Drosophila melanogaster: one gene and its partners. The protein of the gene in region 3 interacts with the protein of the main gene of each other region in a pairwise test. Each region holds a gene or a part of one and is shown on either strand. Other genes may lie near its edges. The genes, in order: Exo84, CG15728, Rbpn-5 and Uro.

The links.
Region 1: the proteins of Rbpn-5 (region 3) and Exo84 interact in a two-hybrid assay, tested with the Drosophila melanogaster proteins (one large-scale study listed by BioGRID).
Region 2: the proteins of Rbpn-5 (region 3) and CG15728 interact in a two-hybrid assay, tested with the Drosophila melanogaster proteins (one large-scale study listed by BioGRID).
Region 4: the proteins of Rbpn-5 (region 3) and Uro interact in a two-hybrid assay, tested with the Drosophila melanogaster proteins (one large-scale study listed by BioGRID).

The regions. Positions count from the first base shown.
Region 1 is NT_033777.3:26,049,195-26,054,231, reverse strand, and holds Exo84 (exocyst 84), read left to right. Parts: upstream 1-1,974; 5' UTR 1,975-2,002; coding exon 2,003-2,042; intron 2,043-2,102; coding exon 2,103-2,261; intron 2,262-2,314; coding exon 2,315-2,645; intron 2,646-2,699; coding exon 2,700-3,472; intron 3,473-3,531; coding exon 3,532-4,061; intron 4,062-4,116; coding exon 4,117-4,302; 3' UTR 4,303-4,501; downstream 4,502-5,037. Other genes in the region: Vps2 (vacuolar protein sorting 2), read right to left, coding at 485-942, 1,003-1,315.
Region 2 is NC_004354.4:12,622,649-12,628,953, forward strand, and holds CG15728 (uncharacterized protein), read left to right. Parts: upstream 1-1,643; 5' UTR 1,644-1,783; intron 1,784-4,444; exon of another isoform or gene 4,445-4,496; intron 4,497-4,567; 5' UTR 4,568-4,584; coding exon 4,585-4,716; intron 4,717-4,772; coding exon 4,773-4,964; intron 4,965-5,028; coding exon 5,029-5,601; 3' UTR 5,602-5,797; downstream 5,798-6,305. Other genes in the region: Aven (apoptosis and caspase activation inhibitor), read right to left, coding at 5,907-6,305.
Region 3 is NT_033778.4:21,087,866-21,092,842, reverse strand, and holds Rbpn-5 (Rabaptin-5), read left to right. Parts: upstream 1-1,838; 5' UTR 1,839-1,916; coding exon 1,917-1,971; intron 1,972-2,031; coding exon 2,032-2,573; intron 2,574-2,628; coding exon 2,629-3,413; intron 3,414-3,477; coding exon 3,478-3,613; intron 3,614-3,671; coding exon 3,672-3,788; intron 3,789-3,851; coding exon 3,852-4,160; 3' UTR 4,161-4,457; downstream 4,458-4,977.
Region 4 is NT_033779.5:7,778,246-7,781,915, forward strand, and holds Uro (urate oxidase), read left to right. Parts: upstream 1-1,839; 5' UTR 1,840-1,872; coding exon 1,873-2,446; intron 2,447-2,515; coding exon 2,516-3,000; 3' UTR 3,001-3,170; downstream 3,171-3,670. Other genes in the region: CG7164 (uncharacterized protein), read left to right, coding at 3,390-3,606, 3,667-3,670. UniProt on the Drosophila melanogaster protein: Catalyzes the oxidation of uric acid to 5-hydroxyisourate, which is further processed to form (S)-allantoin.

The DNA of each region.
Region 1 (5,037 bases), on a different chromosome or scaffold from region 3:
AAGTTTTCTTATTTATACAAGTGCTATGTGATTTTCATTTTTCAAGTGTTTTACATATTTCTATAGTACCCAATAGTACAAATTTAGGAAAGTACTTCTTTTTATTCAGATAAACACAATTTTGCATTTATAGTTAAAGCTGAATATATGTATATACATATATATATAATTTCATGATTTGGAAATTCCTTTTTCTTATTTTATTGAAGACAGGCATGAAACGTACATATCTTTTAAAATACCGAATATTGTATAGCTCTAAAGTAACAAGTATTGCGAATTTGTTTGTAGCTAGGCTGTGCGATTGCAGCACTACCCAGTTCTTTCCATTATAGCTTGTAAATGCTAATTACTCATCGATTTTTCAAACACGCAGGGAACGAAAATCACAAGCATTCTCTTTAATATAACATTCGCTTCTGGGAGATACAAACGGGTGGTGGCTCTTACATAAAGTGGACAGGCAGTGGTTCTTAGTAGCGGCTCAATCCTTGCGCAGCTTATCCAGGCGCGCCTGAAGATCCGCATCGGCATCGGACATGGGCGATGAGGCACCACTGCCACCGGGAGCTCCCGGACCACCAGCGCCGCCACCACTAGCTCCACCTCCGCCGGCGGCTCCACCGCCGCCAACGCCACCAGCGGCCACAGCCTGTGCTTTCTGAGCGCCAGCGCCGCCGGCTATGGAAAGGGAACCGGAGGCGGAAGGAAGGTCTCCCAGCTGTTCGCCCAATTGCAGACCCAGTTCGTCCAGCACCTGGGACACAACAGCATCCGTCTCCTCCTCGTCGCCCTCGTCCTCCATGGCGTCATCGATGGCATCGTTGATCATCTCCTCCTTCATGTCCATCATTTCCGACTGTTTCTCGAAGTCCTGCAGGATCTTCTGGATTTGCGGGAGATTCAGCTGGCGGTTCATGTTCTGCATGGCCTTCGTGACACCTGGAAGATAAGCATAATTGCTTGATAAGCGGGTGAATCAGCCAAATAGCCAATGTTTACCTTTCATGGCCTGTGCCATTGTGTTCTGCGACTTGAGCGTCTGAATTTTGAGGGACACCGCCTGGATGTTTGCCTTCATCAGCATGAACTTCTTGGCATACCGCCGCGTGCGCACCAGATCCTTGGCCATGATCTTCACGGCATCCATTTGACCCTCCTTGGCCATCTTCTTGATATCCGCGATAATCTTCTTCTCCTGCTGCTCCATTTTCATCCGCTCGCGGTCCAGATCTCGCATCGCTTTGTTGAGCGCCCGCTGATTCTTACGCAGCATCTCATCGGGGCTGATCTTCTTGCCGAATAGCCAGTCCATGTTTAAGGATATCTTAACTGCAAGATTTAATTACGAAGAATGACGGAGTTTCCTAAAGATTACTCATCAACCAAAACAATAAGCGAAGGGTGTGCGCGATTCTAAGGTGGCCAAGACGTGTTGGCGCTTACATGCGAATAGTGCTAGTGGGAAGAAGAAGCTTTGCCGGTGCACTCTGAAAGAACTGTTCACACTTCAACTTAGTGAATTAGCAACAGGTGGAAAATAATTTTAATTTATTACAATACAACACACACACATTGTAATGAATAGTATACATATAGACATATGTCTTCTTGATTTTTAACGTAGATCTTTGACGTAGTCGTTTATATTTAAAAGTTCAGTTCGAATAAAAAGTATTCAGGGCTTCAACGCCTAATCATACCTAAGATGAAAATCCGAAATGTAAATGCGAATAAATTTGTTGATCTCTAAAAGGTCTTTGACGTAGCCGTTCAGTTCGAATAAAACTTTTCATAGGTTTTAAATCTTAATTAATCTCCTATTACTTAAAACTAAATAAAAATGTTCTAGATTTATAGATTTATCTAATACCAGGGAAAACTGCAGTGAAAACATGGCATTTTCTATAGCATCAGCAACCTTACAATCGACACCTCATGATGACGCTCGTTCGTTGTGAATGGCTCTGCGTCAGCTGCAGTTTACATTCCAATCAGAATCATGAAGGAGTTCGACGATTTTAATTTTAGCGTTGAGAAATGTAAGTATTCCTATGTCTATTTAGCATTAATCAGTCTACTAATAAGTACAACGTTCCCAGATACCAAGGACCTGACACGAGAATGTGTGGGTGGCAGCGATTTGCAGCAGCGAAAAAAGGAAATCGAGGCCTACAACGAAACGACGGCAGCAACGCTCAAGCAAACATGCAAAAAGAACTATATGGAGTTTATACAGACGGCCAAGGAGATATCACGTAGTTTACGCCCCCCAATATCAATATACATTTATGTTAATATTTTCGCATCGCAGATCTCGAGTCGGAAATGTATCAACTGTCGCACATTCTGATTGAGCAGCGCAATATTCTGGCCACCATGACGGATGGCAAGACTTCCAGTCACCTGAAGGCAGAGAGTTTGGAGGCGGAGAGCACTACGGCGACGGAGGATCTGGAGAATAGCCATGCCACGCGGGCGGTCAAGGAAATGGTCCAGGGCTTCAATGGCAATCTGGAAGGCAAGACCTTCCTCAACGAGGGAGCTCTAATCGAGTTGGACAGTAATGATTATCGACCCATTCAAAGGGTCTTCTTTTTCCTCTTCAACGATGTACTGATTGTCTGCAAAGTGAAGCATGATAAGTAGGTTTTCCTATACTAAAGCATATAGCAAAAACTAATAGTAATATTTTTCAGGCGCTTGGATTTCCTCACCGAGTACGACCCCAAGAAAATAGCCGTGATTAACATTAAGGACTTGGATGGCGTTAAGAATGCCATTAATATCATTACTCCAGATGGTTCCAAGATCTATCAAAGCATCACGGCTGCTGGGAAGACGGAGTGGATAGAGAAGCTCGAAGAGGCCTTCCGCTTTGACCAGCAAAAGAAACCAAAAAAGGGCCAGGCGCCACAGCCTCCAACTCGGGCCAAACAGCAGTCAAAAGCTTCGACTCCGGAGAAGGAAACCACACCCCAGAGTCCCGGACAGCCCAAATCCCTGGAGGATGAGACGCCCGAGTGGCTAAGCACGGCCAGTGAAGAGATTCAGACCCTGGTGGCCCAACGGCATTTCGAGGATGCCCAGGAGCTGATAAAGCGAACCCAGGACTTCTTGCGAAACGAGAACCGAAAGAAGTTGCCACTAGCGGACGCCATTGAAACCAAGGTGAAGCAGCAGGAGCTGAAGCTGATCAATGTGCTGCTCAAGGAGTTGTCCAACAGTCACAATCGCAATCTGCAGATCGCTCTGAGAGCAGCCAAGCGGCCTCTGAAGATTCTCGTAGAGATGGGTCGCTATCGGCAGGCGAGTGCCACTCTGCTGAAGGTCTGCGCCGTCAGTTTGCGGGTGGCGCAACGGGAGGCGCGCAGGAATAATGCGGATATATCGGAACTCTTCTTTTGTGACCTGACGCAGGTGGCCTGTGATTTTCTCACCGCCTTTGAGAAGCAACCGGCGTGCGTTAGCGGTAAGCTTCATTCCTATTTCTGTCTACATTTAAGTATTACTACTATCTAATTCTTGCAGCGCTCGTGGTTTGGTGCAATGCGGAGCTGCAATATTTTGCCAGCCAACTGATAAAGCATTACCTGACCAAGGGAACCTCCCTGGAGTCAGTGGCCAAATGTGTGGAGCGAGTGCGCAAGCCCTCGACAAAGCTCACAGAGATCGGGCTGGACATTAGTTATCATTTGGAAGGTCTGTTGCGCACTACACTCGAGTCGCTCATAGAGGAATCCAAGGAGCGACTGCTGGACTCCGTGGGTCGCACCGAGGAGAGCTGGCAGCCGTACAATTTGCAGACCAAGTCGAACCTGAAGCGTCTGCTCCTGGAGCTCGATGTCTTGGGTATCGATGTGCGAGCCCAGGCGACGGGCGACACATGGATTAATCTCACCCAGTCGACAGTGGTTTTCATCAGACACTTCCTGCAGCTCACCGAGTACTGCGGCTGTCTGGCCAAGTGCGAAACCCTGCTGCAGAGCCTGGAACTGCTTCTTAAGGAGCTGTTCATTGCCCAGCATTCGTTGAAACCGCCCAGCGACATGGCCGTGGATGTAAGTTAGAAAGCAGCTTAAATAAAACCGCTCTCTTCAAGAATGCCATTTTCAGCCCAACTTTGTAATGAAGAACAAGATTTTTCTGGTGGACAACCTGCTGCCCATCGCCATCGACAAGTTTCGACAGATTTCTGGACGCCAGTGCGAGGGATTGCGCGAGTTGCACACGAAAATGTCCCGCCAGCAAGGTGCTCCAGTGCCGCGCCAGCGCAGCGTCTACACCACAGATGTGTTTTAGATGCACGCCGTGGGATTTACTTTCGATTACATATAATTTTTTATTTTTTCGTTTTGCTTCAATTATTTATAATATAATTATATACATATATAACCACAATAATAATAATATTTGTAAAATTAAAAATCGAAGCGTGTGCTGCACTCTATCTCTTGCTTATTACAATTTCGCCGCTCGCATTATATATATAATTGTAAATATATATAAATCGATTCGTTTTCTGTTTTTCATATATATACTCTAAACACTAAACAATTTAGCTGTGTTCTACTTTTCGGTTTCGGTTGTTGATGCGGCTCTCTCTGTGTTGGGTTTAGCTGCTCAAAATATAGGATTTTACACTTGGTTCTGAAGAGTTGAGTTTGATTCACACAATTAATTCCTCGATTTTCTCATTACACATTTTCTCAAATTACATACAAGCAAAGCGGACTGCTCTGAGCTTCTAACTACTGACCCCCAATGCGAGTGAGTGTTTCGAAAGTGGTTTCCGTGTTTAATTTATAATGTAAAACTCTTAACTAAAATGCTTACTAAGTATATTCATTTATAATTATATATATATATATATATATATACCTTTTATGCAAATGTGTTTTGTGTTTTTCGTATGTTGTGTTTGTGTGTGTGTGGTGTGTGTTTGGAGGGACGTTGGGAGGTAAGGAAACTGACAACTTAAAATTACATTTGTTGTTGCATTCGCTGTCTGACTTTTCAGCTAAATTACAAAAACCG
Region 2 (6,305 bases), on a different chromosome or scaffold from region 3:
AATGGCTGAAATGCGAATGAAAGGCAAAGGCGAATGGGATGGCAAGCAAGTTAACGTTGCCATGAAATCGTCTATGAAATGTGAATGTAATCTAATGAATAAAATGCATCTGCTAACCCCCATCATGCCAGCCACTTGCAGATACAGATAGATGATGGATGATTCTTTCACCGGTTTCCTTCGCGTTTTTTTTTTTTTTTTTTGATACCGCAAATTCTCACATTCATGCGGTTCATTTGCGCAGCCATTGAGATTTGAATGGCATTTTTAATTGGTACATTTTACGCAGCCATCCTTTGAGCACAAAGGCACCTCCTGCTCCACCAGCCCTTCTCCTTTGAGCTGGCCATCATTCAATTTGATTTGTATTTATTTAATGAGTTATTAATTGCATTAAGCTCTCGGCGTTGGAGAACTTTGCAACTAAAAAAAAAAAGGAATAAAGCCGGGAGAGTGGGGAAAAGTTTTTCGGCTTTTGCTCGCATTCAGGCTGAAAACTACGAAACTAAAGAGTTCGTACAATTTGCAGCTTTGAAAAAAAAACAACAGAAAATGCTAGTGCCAAAAGTGTAGCATACTTTTCTGCGCACTTTTGCCTGTGATTATGAATTTGGGTTTGGCCGACTAAAGAGGCGCGAGAACTTCAAGACTAGCCAAAACTATTAGCAAATCTAAATCTAAATTATATTTCCAAATTCCAAATTCCATCTTTCCATCTTACATTTGTTGCCTCTGTTACTTCATACATTTAAAATGGTAAGCAGCCCACGTAACATAAAATTATATTATATATATATATATAAATAAGTAAATAAATAGCAAGGTGTCAGAAATACAACATAAATATTCTTGAGATCTAAACAAATTGGACTTGTTAAAGTAATGATTGTTTTGGGCCGCATAAGTATTGTAAAATAATAAAGTTACCACAGAAGGCACTTGACTTTGGCCATGAATGTACTCACTTTACTCACAGGGGAGGAACTGTCAGTTACTCCCTGCCATTATATACCAATTTCAATTTAAATTCCAGCCTGCTGTGGCCCATCCGCGGGGCAGAAACAAAAATATATATATATGCATGTATATAAAAATAAAGGAAAAAAAATAGAAGTGAAGTTCGGAGAAACCGCAACAGCAATTCTCGACATAATGATTGTGTTGAGGGGCGATTATGTCATCATGGATGGGCAGGGCAAAAGGACTCGACACACTTGACTTCCGGTTGGAGGATGGCTGCGAGATGTTTGCCATATTGTGTGAAAATTTGTGTTTTCCCCCGTCCACTGCAATTGGCGGTGGTGGTTTCTCGTCTCGTTTTTGTGATTAAAAATGTTTGTCATTATCCGCTTGGAAAATCGTCCGAAATTGTGTTTGTGCCGCGGGCCGTGCCACACTTGCTTATTTCAAATCTGGCATCTTTATGCCTAATTGCCGCATTGTGTCCCATTGTGCGGCCATCGAACCTGTGGATTGAATCGAATCGGATCGAATCGAATCGAATCGTCTCACAGTCTCAGCCTCGAACCCCGACTGAGCCATACAGGTTGCCTCTGGCTAAGAGTCCATGGCTAAGGGAAAGCCACTGACTATGGCTTTCCATCGATCAGTTGCAATTTGTTGCAAAAGCGAATAGTGGTCAGCGGAATAAAAAAGATACCCATTGAAATATTAGTGAGCTCCTTGATAATTTGCTAATAATTGACGAGGAAGTGAGAAGTAATTTCATTGTACAAGTGAAGTATTCTTCCGCCAAGCTAAACATTTCATACAAAACGTACAGGTATGTCCAGTTTTAATTACATTCATTACGATTCCTGCCCCTTTTGTATATAAACTTTGAGATCCCCATCCATGGGGATGAACTTTATGAGACTCCTGAGCTCCTCGAACTGCATCTAGATATTTTAGAATTTTTGTATCTTTTCGTTTGATTGCTAATGATATAGTGAATCTCAAAGCATTCTCGCTTGTGCCCACCAGGAGCATATTGATCTCAAGGATTCGCTTGAACTTCTGGCACTGATCAAAAAGATCCCAAAGCTTTCTTTTTTGAGTTTTTCTTTGGTGCAATTTCCAGGTCATCACTCTCTTTCACGCTCCTAAGCTCCTAGAACTATCTATATCTATATATTTGGAAATTTATGTATATCTTTTTTTTATTGCTAATGATATAGTTATTAGAGCATATTGATCTTAAGGTCAAAAATAGTCCTAAGCTGTTTAAATAAAGGTTAAAGTTGGCCACAGCACTTACATATACATACATACAGGAAACTCTGTAAAACATGAAATTCTTTATTACTTGGGCACTTTTTCTTCATTACCCCCATCTTGCAAATTCTTTAAAACTGTTTCTAGTTACACAACGCATATAATTAATAGAAAATCAATATGTTTACCTTACCGAAAGAAATTCGCTTAGTATCATCAGGGCCGACAGAAATATTAGACTTATTTTCTTTGCAAGGGTCTATTCGATTTCTTATGTCGCGTCTTGCAAAAGTGGCTAATTCTCAGATGACATTTCGTGATAATTGGTGGGTGGAACGGTTTGGATTCCACTTGCACTGTGGCTATCATTTGTATACATACATCATACTTTCCAATTGTGTAAACAACAACTTCATTAGTAAACAAAAAGTTCGCTGGGTGGTTACAGAACGCAAATCCTAAGCCCGAAAACCGATTCCCTTTCAAATGCCACAAATCAGTAAATAATGACATGAAAATCTGTTGGCTTTTGTCAGGCCCCGCGGCCTCGAAGACCGAAAAATGAAAAAGTTAGTTGGATGGGGGAGGGTTTTCGGTTGCAAAAGTGTTGAGACAAGTGGGGTGGACAATTTGCCTTAAATTAGGCGTAAAATGCACAGATTGGTTACAACAAACAGCGCACACAAGCGGCTCATCAGTTCGGTCCACCCTCAAAAATTAAAGGGTAGCTACTTGCCACTTGTCATCACCATCTTGATTATTATTATCATCGCCATCCGACGGGAACCGGATATGATTGTTAGTATCTATTAGCACAGTTGAACCTCCAAATGATGGTTCCATAAATAATAATACCAGTCTTGTCATTTTTTTTTTTAAGTAAGATAAATAACTACAGTAAAATTTTTCTTATGATGAGCAAAAATACTCAAATGGAAAATGTAAACATCTTTTCAATCTTGTAGTAAAATAAAAATGTAAGCATCTTTTCCACTTACGGATGTTTGACTGTAATTGGCCTGGTCTGCGTTTCCCGTTCAACTTGCTGAACAACCCTCGCTAATTGAGCACTTTTGTTGCGTTTAATAGAGGGGGATTCTTGGGTTTTTACACTTGACGTAGATTTTTAGCTGGACGCTGATATAATAGATCATATTATGCTATAGATGTTCCCAGTTGATTAGCATACAATCGCTTCGCAAGCAGTGGCAGCTAAATTGAGGTTATGTTTGCAAGCAGTTCAGAAAGAGAGGGTTATATGTTGCCTACCCCTTTGCCATTTAAATTTGATCAACAAATACATGTGCATAATTAAAAACAAAAAGGAGAGCATAACACACACACACACACACACAGAGAGATTGCAAAAAAGTTGTTAATCTTTTCATGCCGACGCATAATTAAAATGTGAATATGGAAATTTCAATAGGAATCTGTGCAAAAAATGCCCCAAAAAAATAAAGGGGGCGATAAAAAAGCAGAAGAGCAGAAAGAAAAGACCAAGCAAAGGACGCACAAACACACACACACACACAGAAACTTAACGGTTTCCTGCTGTTATGGCCATCTTGCTTGCACCTCTTGCGCTTTTTACCGCCAGTTCGTTTGCGTGCGTGTGTGTGTGTGTGAAAGCAAGTAATTGCGAAATATGAAATATGAATGCATAATGAGCAGATATTCGCCAAGTGTGCAAGAAACTTGAAGCGGCGATGGGCGTGGCAGGTGGAAAAGTGGGAGTCGGAAACGGAGGCCAGGTGACTTTTATGCTAAAATGCGCACATCGCGCGTGCATTTGCATTTTGCCAGCCTTTTCGAAAGCAGTGCAAGGACAAGCACAAATACACACAAACAAAGGCGGGCACACACACAGGCAGGAAAAATCATAACTACAGTAAGCGTCCGATAGCAGCGACTCCTCTAAGTCCTTCAATTTTATGCGATTCAACTAGAAGTTCAACACAAAAGTGTATTTTGTCTAAAAATGAACATAACTATATAATTATAATATTTTAATATATTATTACAAAAAATTAATTTTAAATCATGGAAGATGTACATAGGTTCAAGGTTCATGAATTCAAATCAAAAGCTTCATAGTTAATTCCTAGACTTTTCAATTAAAAGTACCCACTTGCTGATTTCACTGTACTCGGCTTGGCCAAGATGGCAGCCAAGTGTGTTTGAAAAACATGTCAAAATGTTGTGGAGCTCATTAAAATAGCGTTGGCTATTTGCACACATCATATCTTTCAGTCACTAATTTGTAGAAGGAGGAGGAGAAGGTGAAGCAGCAGCAAATCCTTGAAGGCGCCTTTTCCCTGTTCAAAAGTAATGCATAACTCCCTTTTTCCAGCTTTTTCCTCAGATAAAATGGCAGAATACAACATGAGCCACATGGTGCGACCCCAGGGATTCAGTTTGGAAGAGCTGCGTCAGACTATGAGTCGATCGGCGATTCGGGAACAATGCTACTTTATTTATGCCACCGGCAATATTCTGGAGGTGATCCATATTCATATCATAATCACATTATCTAATTTATTCACATGTTCCGTTAGATTATATCTGGTTTTGATGAACTGCTCAACCAGGAGGGGATCCAATTCGGAGCAGATAAACTGGCTGCGGTGTATGTATGCGGTTTGATGGTTTATCTACTCCATCATGAGGACACGTCGGCCACCCAGGTGAAAAGAACTCTTTTCCTGCAAAAGTGCTTCAATTATATGGCATGCTCCGAGGAAAGCCATGTGAGTAAGCATATATATGTTTGAAATATATATTTTTTGATCCTTCCCTTTCTTTGCCCAACAGATCCACCAGGTATGCGTCCATGTCCTGGGTCTCTTGGATATCCAGAGTTCGAGCACAATGCTCAACCTGATCCTCGGCTGCCGCGTGGCCAGTCCGCTGTGCACAATGGCCAGCGTTGTGGCTAACTGTCTGCTCTGGGCCATGTTGGATCATATGTCGGACTTGGGCCTGGACTTGCACCGATTGCGTCCGGCTAACACACTGCTGCTCGTCGTTGCCGTGGTGAAGCCGCATATTTATGTAATATCCTATTTGCATTCCCTGCACCTGGTGGTCCGTTTGATATCCAGCATCCTGCTGATCGGACCATTCAATGCCCAGGGCCAGCAACTGTGCCAGGAGACCGATGTGCCGGAGGATTATATGAAACTGGCCAGGGACGATTGTTCGATATTAGTTCGCTGGCTAATCGCGATCGTTGATGAGCTGCGTCCGCTGATGGTGGAGAACAACGATTTGGGGCATCTGCATGAGCGCCTGGTGCTTTTGGAGTCCATATGTGAGCTTATGCAGCTCTTGCATGGCCATTTGGTTAAGTGTTACCAAGGCAAAAGTGGACCACAATGTAAGTAATAGCGAACGGAAACAAAGAAATCTGTTATAAATTCAGATACTTTGATGAGAAGAGAATTGAAATCTTCAATAACTTAACCTAACCTTTGAAACTTATTTCAAGAAACAATCGCATCGTATATATATGCAATCAACGATTTTATTATACACAATAAAAAGGCTCTAGCTTTAACTATAAAGTTACGAGGAAAACTCTAGATTTTGCAATTTTAATGATGCTACTTCTAAAAATGCAAGCACTTAGTGATTTGAATATTTCGTGTAAGCGTAAAAAGCTCTGGTAATAGTCCTCCTGAACTATGTAACTATTCATCCAAAACGGAATCCAGCCATTCCTCCACACCGTTTTTGCTTGCTGCCGATGAGGGTGTGGCCGGCTGCACCATAGGCATTGGCATCGTAATGGTTCCAGAGCCTATATCCAGTTGCGTATCGGTCATGGCCAATAGCTCGTCAAGTTCATCAGGTTCAGCTGCTGAGGCAGCAATTGGTTTTTCCGCCGCTGCAGGGGCAACGTCCTTATTGGACTTAGCAGAGGGAGCTCGCGACTTGGCGCCCCCATTGGCGTCCTTCAGAATGCACTGCTGGTAAACTGCCTCAGCCCGTTCGGCGGCCTTCTCTTGGGCGGCAATCTGAGCGCGGGTGAACAAAGACGCCGGATAATCCATACGCTTGTATAACGGAATCGTTTGCAGACCCACATT
Region 3 (4,977 bases):
TGTGGGTGAACCATCGGCGCGACCACTTGTACATGCCGAAGGTCATCTTCTCGCCGAAGCTCAAGCCCGACTTTGTGATATCGAGGAAGCCCTCGTAGCCCTTGGTCATAAAGTTGCCGTATCCGAAGGGATTGGCCATTGGTGGCCAGTAGGGTCCCTGTGTTCCATTGCCCGTGAAGTTCGTTTGGGCCGTATAGGGTGGCTGGGCACTGGGTGGCATCGATGCCTGGCTCATTGCCGATCCGCTGGTCAGATTGTGGATGTTGATCCTGGGCGGTCGATTTGCCCGCCGTGAAGGCGGCGGTGTGCTGGGAATGGGTGTTATGCTCTGGGTTTGCGACATGGTCGGTTTTTTTTTTGGTATATCCGGGAATCTATATGGATTCGCTTTGCAATTTTCTAATTGATATCCGTAGGAACTCAAAACATTGGGCACTTTATGGTCATTATTCAAGTTCCGTTCACATACATATATCGCGGCGGTTGTACTTATATATTTGTATTATTTTTAAGTTTATAAGTAGAAATGCCGTCGCGATTCCAAGGCGCCGCGTATTTATTTCTTCGCGTACTTTTTTTTCCCGCTTCCGACCGCCTCGTTCCTGAATCCAATGCGAACTGAACAGACGCCAAATATTTTGGCCAACATCGCTGCTGTTGTCGCTGGGCATAATGCTGTAGTATTTGTATCGGCCACGAATCTCCGGCTGCCGACTATGACGACATCGAAAGTCATGAGCTCACAAGCCTGCCAACAAGTCCAAGACCTAGAAGACCCAACGGATCTCAGCGTACACTGACGAAAAAAATGGTCTATGTAATGCCTAATGCTATGATTTAATTAATATTATTGGCTATAAGGTGGTTAACAAATGTTTAAAGTTAACATTAGTTACAGCGTACAATTATTTTTTACCTATCGACTAAAATGTTTTCCAATTTCTGGTAGTGTACAGCCATGATAATTTTATAATTAGTCAAGTTTTCGGCTTCCTCAGCCGATGCCGAAATTCTGAAATCGAGTTTTGTTCTGGTTAACGCGTAGTTTTGTTATCTCAAATAGTTTGCTATATTGTTATATTTAAATATGTTTTCTCATTAGCTAGGCATTATTGAAGTATTCATTTTCCTCTCATAATTTATCAGCTCTTAGCGTTTTCTCGCGTTTCTGGCGCTTAATAATTTGCATAAAATTAAAAGAACTGACGGTATTAGTCATTCATGATCGGCAGTCATTTACCTTTTCATAGAATTGTGTCTAATATATTCTGCCGTTGTCATTTGGCTTACACACAAATGTTGAAACACTTTCTAGGAAATGCTTAAGAAAATCCTAAATAATTAAGAACGATTAAGATGCAATTATAAACATTATACAAATTTAAATTATATGGTATTGTTTATTTATATTCCTTACCCATTTGTTTTCTTTTTCTATTTATAGTTCCTGATGGCTGATGATAACAAAAAATTCGAGGAATATCTAGATTTAGATTTTAGACTAAGATATAAAAGGACAAAGGAGTGATTTTAAAGGATTCCGACTTTTAACTTAATAAAACGGGTTCTTAAAAAGGACACATTAAAAGGACATAAAATAAGAATACATTTGCAAATTGGCGAAGGGAAATTATTAAAACTATTTTACCAAGTATCTGTAAGTAAATATTTTAAACTTTCTATACTTCTATAGAAAACTTAATCCCAAAAGATGTTTATCAAGCTCAATAAAGTTAGATTTTGAAAACCTTTTTTAACGGCACTGCCAAGCAATACTAAAGTATTAACTATCGGTATTATTCAAATATGGTAACACCAAGAGCAGTGTTGAAAATCGCTCAAATGTATATGTTCTAATTGGTGCGCTCACATATGTACATATAAACTAATAAATTGGCCATCACACAATATAGAAAATGGAAGAAAACGAGACCCGGTCAGAGGCCAGGGAACCCACGGACCTGCCCAATGGTAAGGCAGCACCACAGGAAGCCTGAACAGCCGATAACTAACCCATAACTCCAACGGCAGGTGAGGATGACGCGACCAGCCAGCACAAACTCAGTCACCTGCAGAACGAGATGCGCAAAATGCAGAACGAGTTCAACACGCAGCGGGCGAAGATGCGGGAGCTGTACATCCAGAAGGAGGCGGAGGTCAGCCAGAGCCAGCAGGAGCGACGGCAGCTGCAGGCGGAGCTGGACGAGCTGAAGACACACCTAATGGTGGCGGACCTTAAGTCGCAGAACGAGCTGCAGCTGAGGGACCTCAAGGCGCAGGAGGAGATCTCCTCGCTGCAGCAGCTGGTGCAGGACACTATCGAGGAGACCGCGCACTACAAAGGCGAGGTGGAACGGCTCAGGCTGGAGCTGGGCAAGTACCAGCAGATTCAACAGCAGACGATGGCTCAACAACCGCAGGCCGAGTCATCTGGCGGTATAGCGCCGCAGGTGCTCAATCAGGTCAAGAAGACACTAGGCTCTGTGCGTAAACTGGGCACCGACTCCCTGAACAGCAGCTTTCAGCAGGACGAGGACACCCGGGCATCGAGCAAGGGCAATGGCAAGCAATACGTATGTTTTCGGGACTAATCTTTCAACTATCAAATTAACTGAGCTTATATTGCAGGCTCCTGAGGAGGCGGAGATGATGCACTCAATTGTCGAGCAGCTTCAGGAGGAGATGAAGGCACTAAAAGTGAAGCTGCGCGAACAGGACGAGCAACTGCAGGCCAAGTCGGCGTCCGATGAATCCGCCCTGCACAAGTCCACGTCCATGGACGTCGCCGAGAGCGCCTGCGAGTCGTGCAGCTTGGCAGAAAAGAAGACCGAAGAGCTGGGTGCCCATATAAACAAACAGCAGAAACAGGTGGATCTGCTGCAAAAGCAGCTGGTGGAATCCCGGGAGACACTGGTTAAGGAGGCGGCATTGCGCAAGGATCTGGAGGACCAGTGGCAAGAAAAGCGGGAGGCCCACAAAAGCGAAGTACAAAGCCTGCGTGACCAGGCCAAAACCAACGAGCAGCGACTGCTGGACATGCAGCAAAAGTTTCTCGAGACCAAGGACGAGGTTATTAAGCAGATCCAGCGCGTCTCCGACGACCGAGAGCGGGTCAACAAGCAACTGGAGACGTTGCAGGCGGACAACGACTTTCTGTCCGGTCGCTATCTGGCCACGTCCGAGGAGATCGACAACCAATATATCAATCTGCCCAACACGGTCGTCGAGCTCCAGGAGCTGATACTGCGACAGCAAAGCGAGCTAATCCAAGCACGCGTCAGCAGCGAATACGAGCGACAGAAGTGCACCAGCACTGAAGATGAGATTCAGATCTTGCGGGCCCAGCTGGAGGAGAGCAACAATGAAAGGCGGGCCTACAAGCGCAAAATGCAACTAGATATTAAGTCACTGCAGTAAGTTACAACCTCTTGTCTATGGTGGTGTTCACTTTGGCCCACGTTTTAAATGAATTTTCAGGGATCGGGTGACGGAACACTTGGTCACGGTACAAGCGTACGAGACTACCAAAACCCAACTGGAGCGCAAAGAGGCTGAGCTGAACAAGCAGCTCTCCGAGTGTCGCGTGGAGATCATTGAGCTGCAAGAGGCCAATGTAAGCTATCATATTTTGTTGTCACACTTGATTCTTCGCTAACCAGATCACATTACAGGAAAAGTACGCCAAAACAAATGCAGACTACAAGACGAAGATAAAAACACTACAGGAGGAACTCTCCACCATGGAGACTGTTCAAAAGGACTTTGTCAAACTATCTCAAACGCTTCAGGTGAGTGAGATATAAAAATATATGGTTTATTCACTTAATTAATTACATTGTGTTGTGCCACAGATGTCGCTGGAGGAGCTGCGGCATGCCGACACGGAGGTGCGTTGGCAGGACGATGACGATGTGAACAACTGTCCCACGTGCAATGCCTACTTCACGGTCATGGTGCGCAAGATCCATTGCCGGCACTGCGGCCACATCTACTGCGATAAGTGTCTAACGAAAACGGTGCCATCTGGACCACGGAAGCGAGTGGCCCGAGTCTGTGATATCTGTCACACGCTGCTCACGCCAAACACCGCACCCTACTTCAGTCAGGGACAGCCGCCGCAGCAGCAGCAAGGCCAGCAGCAGCAGCAGCAGTCCAACTAGGCGTTTGGGCTCCAAGCCCAAGTGATTGTGTATTATGTGTGAAGTACGATTACGATTAGTTGGTATCTCCTTGAACTCTATTGCTCTATTTCTGTGCTCCGATACTACGATTACGATCCGAGGTCAAACCTTTCCAATGCCCATTTCCATTTGCCAATGTCTATTTCCGATTTTGTTGTTCCATTATTTTGGCCCTATACATAACGTAAGCGATGAGTTGTCTATGTTAGCTTTCGTCGTAGGTAAGTTTTCGTAACTGAATTTAACTCAAAGCAAATATACAAATTAAAAACAATTAAATTTTTGTTGTTTGTCGCCGCACATCTCTACTTGAACCAACTTTGCCTGCAATAGAGTTGATATCAAAGTAATGAATTGAGTTGTTTAATTCAAAGGCGAGCCATGCAACATAAAGTTTGTGTTCTTGTTTATTTAAAAATGCTAAGAAAAGAGTTTGTAAATTATTGTTAACAATTGTATTTGTGTCTTCATTTGGTTGCGAGGAGCTAGGATTGGTATAGGTATTTGCTAAATATTAAAACGTAATAACAATTTCGGGCATGCCCATATAAATTCAGTATATACAACTCTCACTTCAACTACCAAATAATGATAAACTAATACTGCAATCTCCGCACTCAACGAAAAACGTTAGCAACTACAGACTTCACAACACACGCACAAACACGGAGGGGGGAATCACACTACTTGAGTAGCAATTACGTCTTGTTTTGGCACACATTGTCTGCGGAAGAGATAGAAAAATGATTACCCAATTAGCCCGTCGCCGGGAGATAGCTAGATTTCAATTCGATTT
Region 4 (3,670 bases), on a different chromosome or scaffold from region 3:
AAAAGCTTCATAAAACTACCAATCCATTAGATTAAATTCCAGGCGGTACATCTTTTGGGGATGATTCATGTGGCAGGGGTTCTCTACTCGTTTACAATCATATCATCATCTTCAAGATCATATAGTTTATCATATCAGTAGAGTACTACAATATAATGCATAAACTAAGCCAAATAACTTTATGACGCGTGCTTATGCGAAAGTAAACTTTATTATCAAATTTACTTAACCGTGAAATCAAAACCTTTATATAAACACGAATATTATTATCTTTGCTAAATAAAACTCTCGCTTAACAAACAATGACACTTCAATTCCAACATAGAGTTTATCTTAAGCCAATAACCAAAAACGGAACTTACATAACTTGCCAACAAACATATGAATATAGCTATTTCGGATCGTGGGAGACCATTATGCATACAAGGCACGCTCCTAAAAACCGTGTTAAACAAATATATGTCAAATGTATATCTTAAAAAAGCGCGCACATATCTTTTGAAATATCTTCACCCAGAGTATGTATGAGATTAAACTGGATTAGCACTAAGCCACAGCTTCTGTAGATAGAAATTTTATGCAGAGAGTAGATTATTTGGCTGCTGAGCAATTTGACCACCACAAGATAGCAGAGAACATCTGACATTTTCTATATCCATATAATAAAACTGACTTAACACTAAGCTGAAGTGGTATGTTTAAATCCTCCAGCTAATAAATCGAGACTAAACGCCCTATCTTATAGTGATATATAATAGTATCTATATGTGTATTGTCATTTACTGTTTATGAGTATTTGAAAAAACCATTCTATATTTTATAGGTTAGTTAATAAATATTTTGATATACATATGTAGATTGGCTCACACGTACTTATGACCCACTACATAATAAAATTGTTTTGTTTTTTAATAGAATAATGGTTTATAAAAAGTTTAGACTCACACGGAAATGATAAACTCTTTGCAAATACAGCTTTCATTTTATTACAAATTGCACTCTTTCAGATCTGCAGTTGCTATGCCAACCTTTTATTCCCTTTACTAAAAGGGTATACTAGGCTTACTGAACAGTATGTAACTGGTAAAGTAAAGCGTTTCCGATTCTATAAATTATATATCTAAACTTTTGATCAGTCGAATCCATCTGAACACATTCTGTCACATTAGATTATTCCAGAAACTCAACTTAAACATGTGTATTTTTTAAGACCATTATCAAGGATATTAAAAATGGTCTCCTAAAATTTAATAAACAAAAGTGTCACATCAAATTTAAGACGTAAATTAATATTTTTTTTCTATGGTGAAATAATTGTTATTTTCCAATGTTGTGAAATAATAAATGTATCTTTTCAACGCACACATTTTCAAGGTTTTAATAATAATAGTGACTCGTGCGTGAATAAGAGAGAAATTAAGATTTTAAAAAAGAATAAAATTCAGAGATGTGATCTGTAAAAATTATTTACCAATTTTCATTTACCCCCGAAAGTGATGCTAATGGTTAAAACGGCATTTGCGACTTATCTCCTACGTAATATTGCAAAAATAAGGATTTGGTTAGATGAGTGTGAAGTAAACAAGATGCAAAGTTTTGGAGATAGAAAACATAGCCTTGAGTCTTGGTCATGTTTACTTGGCACCAGGCCGCGATTATCAGCGCTACTAGTCGTAATTTGAGTTAGACCTTTAATACTCTAAGTGAGAGTGATGATATACGATTTCCCAGCCACTTGCTTTCTACGAAATGCGCTAAAAAAAATCCCTAACTACACAAAGATTTGTGTTGTTATCCAGGTGTTCTGATATAAAAGGCGGCAAGGAAATTGATGGCATCATCAGTATCAAAGTGAGAGTGATTGCAGTCACAATGTTTGCCACGCCCCTCAGACAGCCAGCTGCGGCTAACCACCAGACCCCAAAGAATTCCGCCGGCATGGATGAGCATGGTAAGCCGTATCAGTACGAGATTACCGATCACGGATACGGCAAGGATGCGGTCAAGGTGCTGCATGTCAGCCGCAACGGACCCGTGCACGCCATCCAGGAATTCGAGGTGGGCACTCACCTGAAGTTGTACAGCAAAAAGGATTACTACCAGGGCAACAACTCGGACATCGTGGCCACCGATTCGCAGAAGAACACCGTCTATTTGCTGGCGAAAAAGCATGGCATTGAAAGTCCCGAGAAGTTTGCTCTGCTCCTGGCCAGGCACTTTATTAACAAATACTCGCACGTGGAGGAGGCGCACGTTCATGTGGAGGCGTATCCCTGGCAGCGAGTTTGCCAGGAGGAGACCAGGACCAACGTCAATGGGAAGTGCGAGAACGGAGTCCAAGGGAACTGCGACTTCAGCTCCATTGACAACAGATCACTGCACAATCACGCTTTTATATTCACGCCCACCGCTCTTCACTACTGCGATGTGGTTATAAGGAGAACAGGTTAAGTCAAACATAACTAAAGCAATAATATTTAAAACTACTAAATTATCACCTCCTTTACTGTTTTAGATCCCAAACAAACGGTCATCACGGGCATCAAGGGTCTCCGGGTGCTGAAGACGACCCAATCCTCGTTCGTGAACTTCGTGAACGATGAGTTCAGATCTCTGCCAGATCAGTATGATCGCATCTTTAGCACCGTGGTGGATTGCTCCTGGGAGTACTCCGATACCGAGAACTTGGACTTCCTCAGGGCCTGGCAAACGGTCAAAAACATAATCATTCGTAACTTTGCTGGCGATCCGCAGGTGGGCGTGTCCTCGCCCTCCGTTCAGCACACCCTGTATCTGAGTGAAAGACAGGTCCTGGATGTCCTGCCGCAGGTGTCGGTCATTTCGATGACCATGCCAAACAAGCACTACTTCAACTTCGATACGAAGCCCTTCCAGAAGATTGCACCCGGCGACAACAATGAAGTTTTCATCCCAGTGGACAAGCCACATGGCACCATCTATGCCCAATTGGCCCGGAAGAACATCAATAGTCACCTGTAGATCGATCTCTGATGTAGTAAATCTAAATCAATCTAAATCAATTTAGCCAATTCATAATTGCATGCGGCGAAGTTATATATGTATTTTAAATTATTTAAGCAAACGAATCATATGCTGCGTTCTTCTTATTTAAACAATAATAAACTAATAAAAAATAAAGTGTAAAAATGAATAAATCGATTGCAAAACCATATTTCGAGATCACCCTTGCCTTGGCTGAATAAATCCAAATTATATCAGAACTATTTTCTAAAATCCTAAAATGAGGCATCGTTCATAAAAAAAAATATATAAAATAAATTCCACAATTTTCGACCACTTTGGCAGTCAAAATTCGCAATCTAAATTCGAAATTAGCAAATAACCATTTAGCCACAAACAGCGTGACCATGACCAATCGACTGGCCTTGCACCACATCCTGACCACCCAGCTGCGAAGGGACTGGGAACAGGAGGAGAGCGCCAAGACCAGGCTGTCGCAGCTGTCCAGGAGGGACAGGATCAAGGCCTCGCTAAGATCGAGTCAGTTGCCAGGACGTTACCTGTTGCCCGACACCAGAAAGACCTACGACAATATGGTGGCCAATATTCACTCGACCATGAAGTGTAAGCTGTTGTGCTAAAAACTAACCAGAAACTTTCAAAACCAATCAATCATTTACTTAGCGGT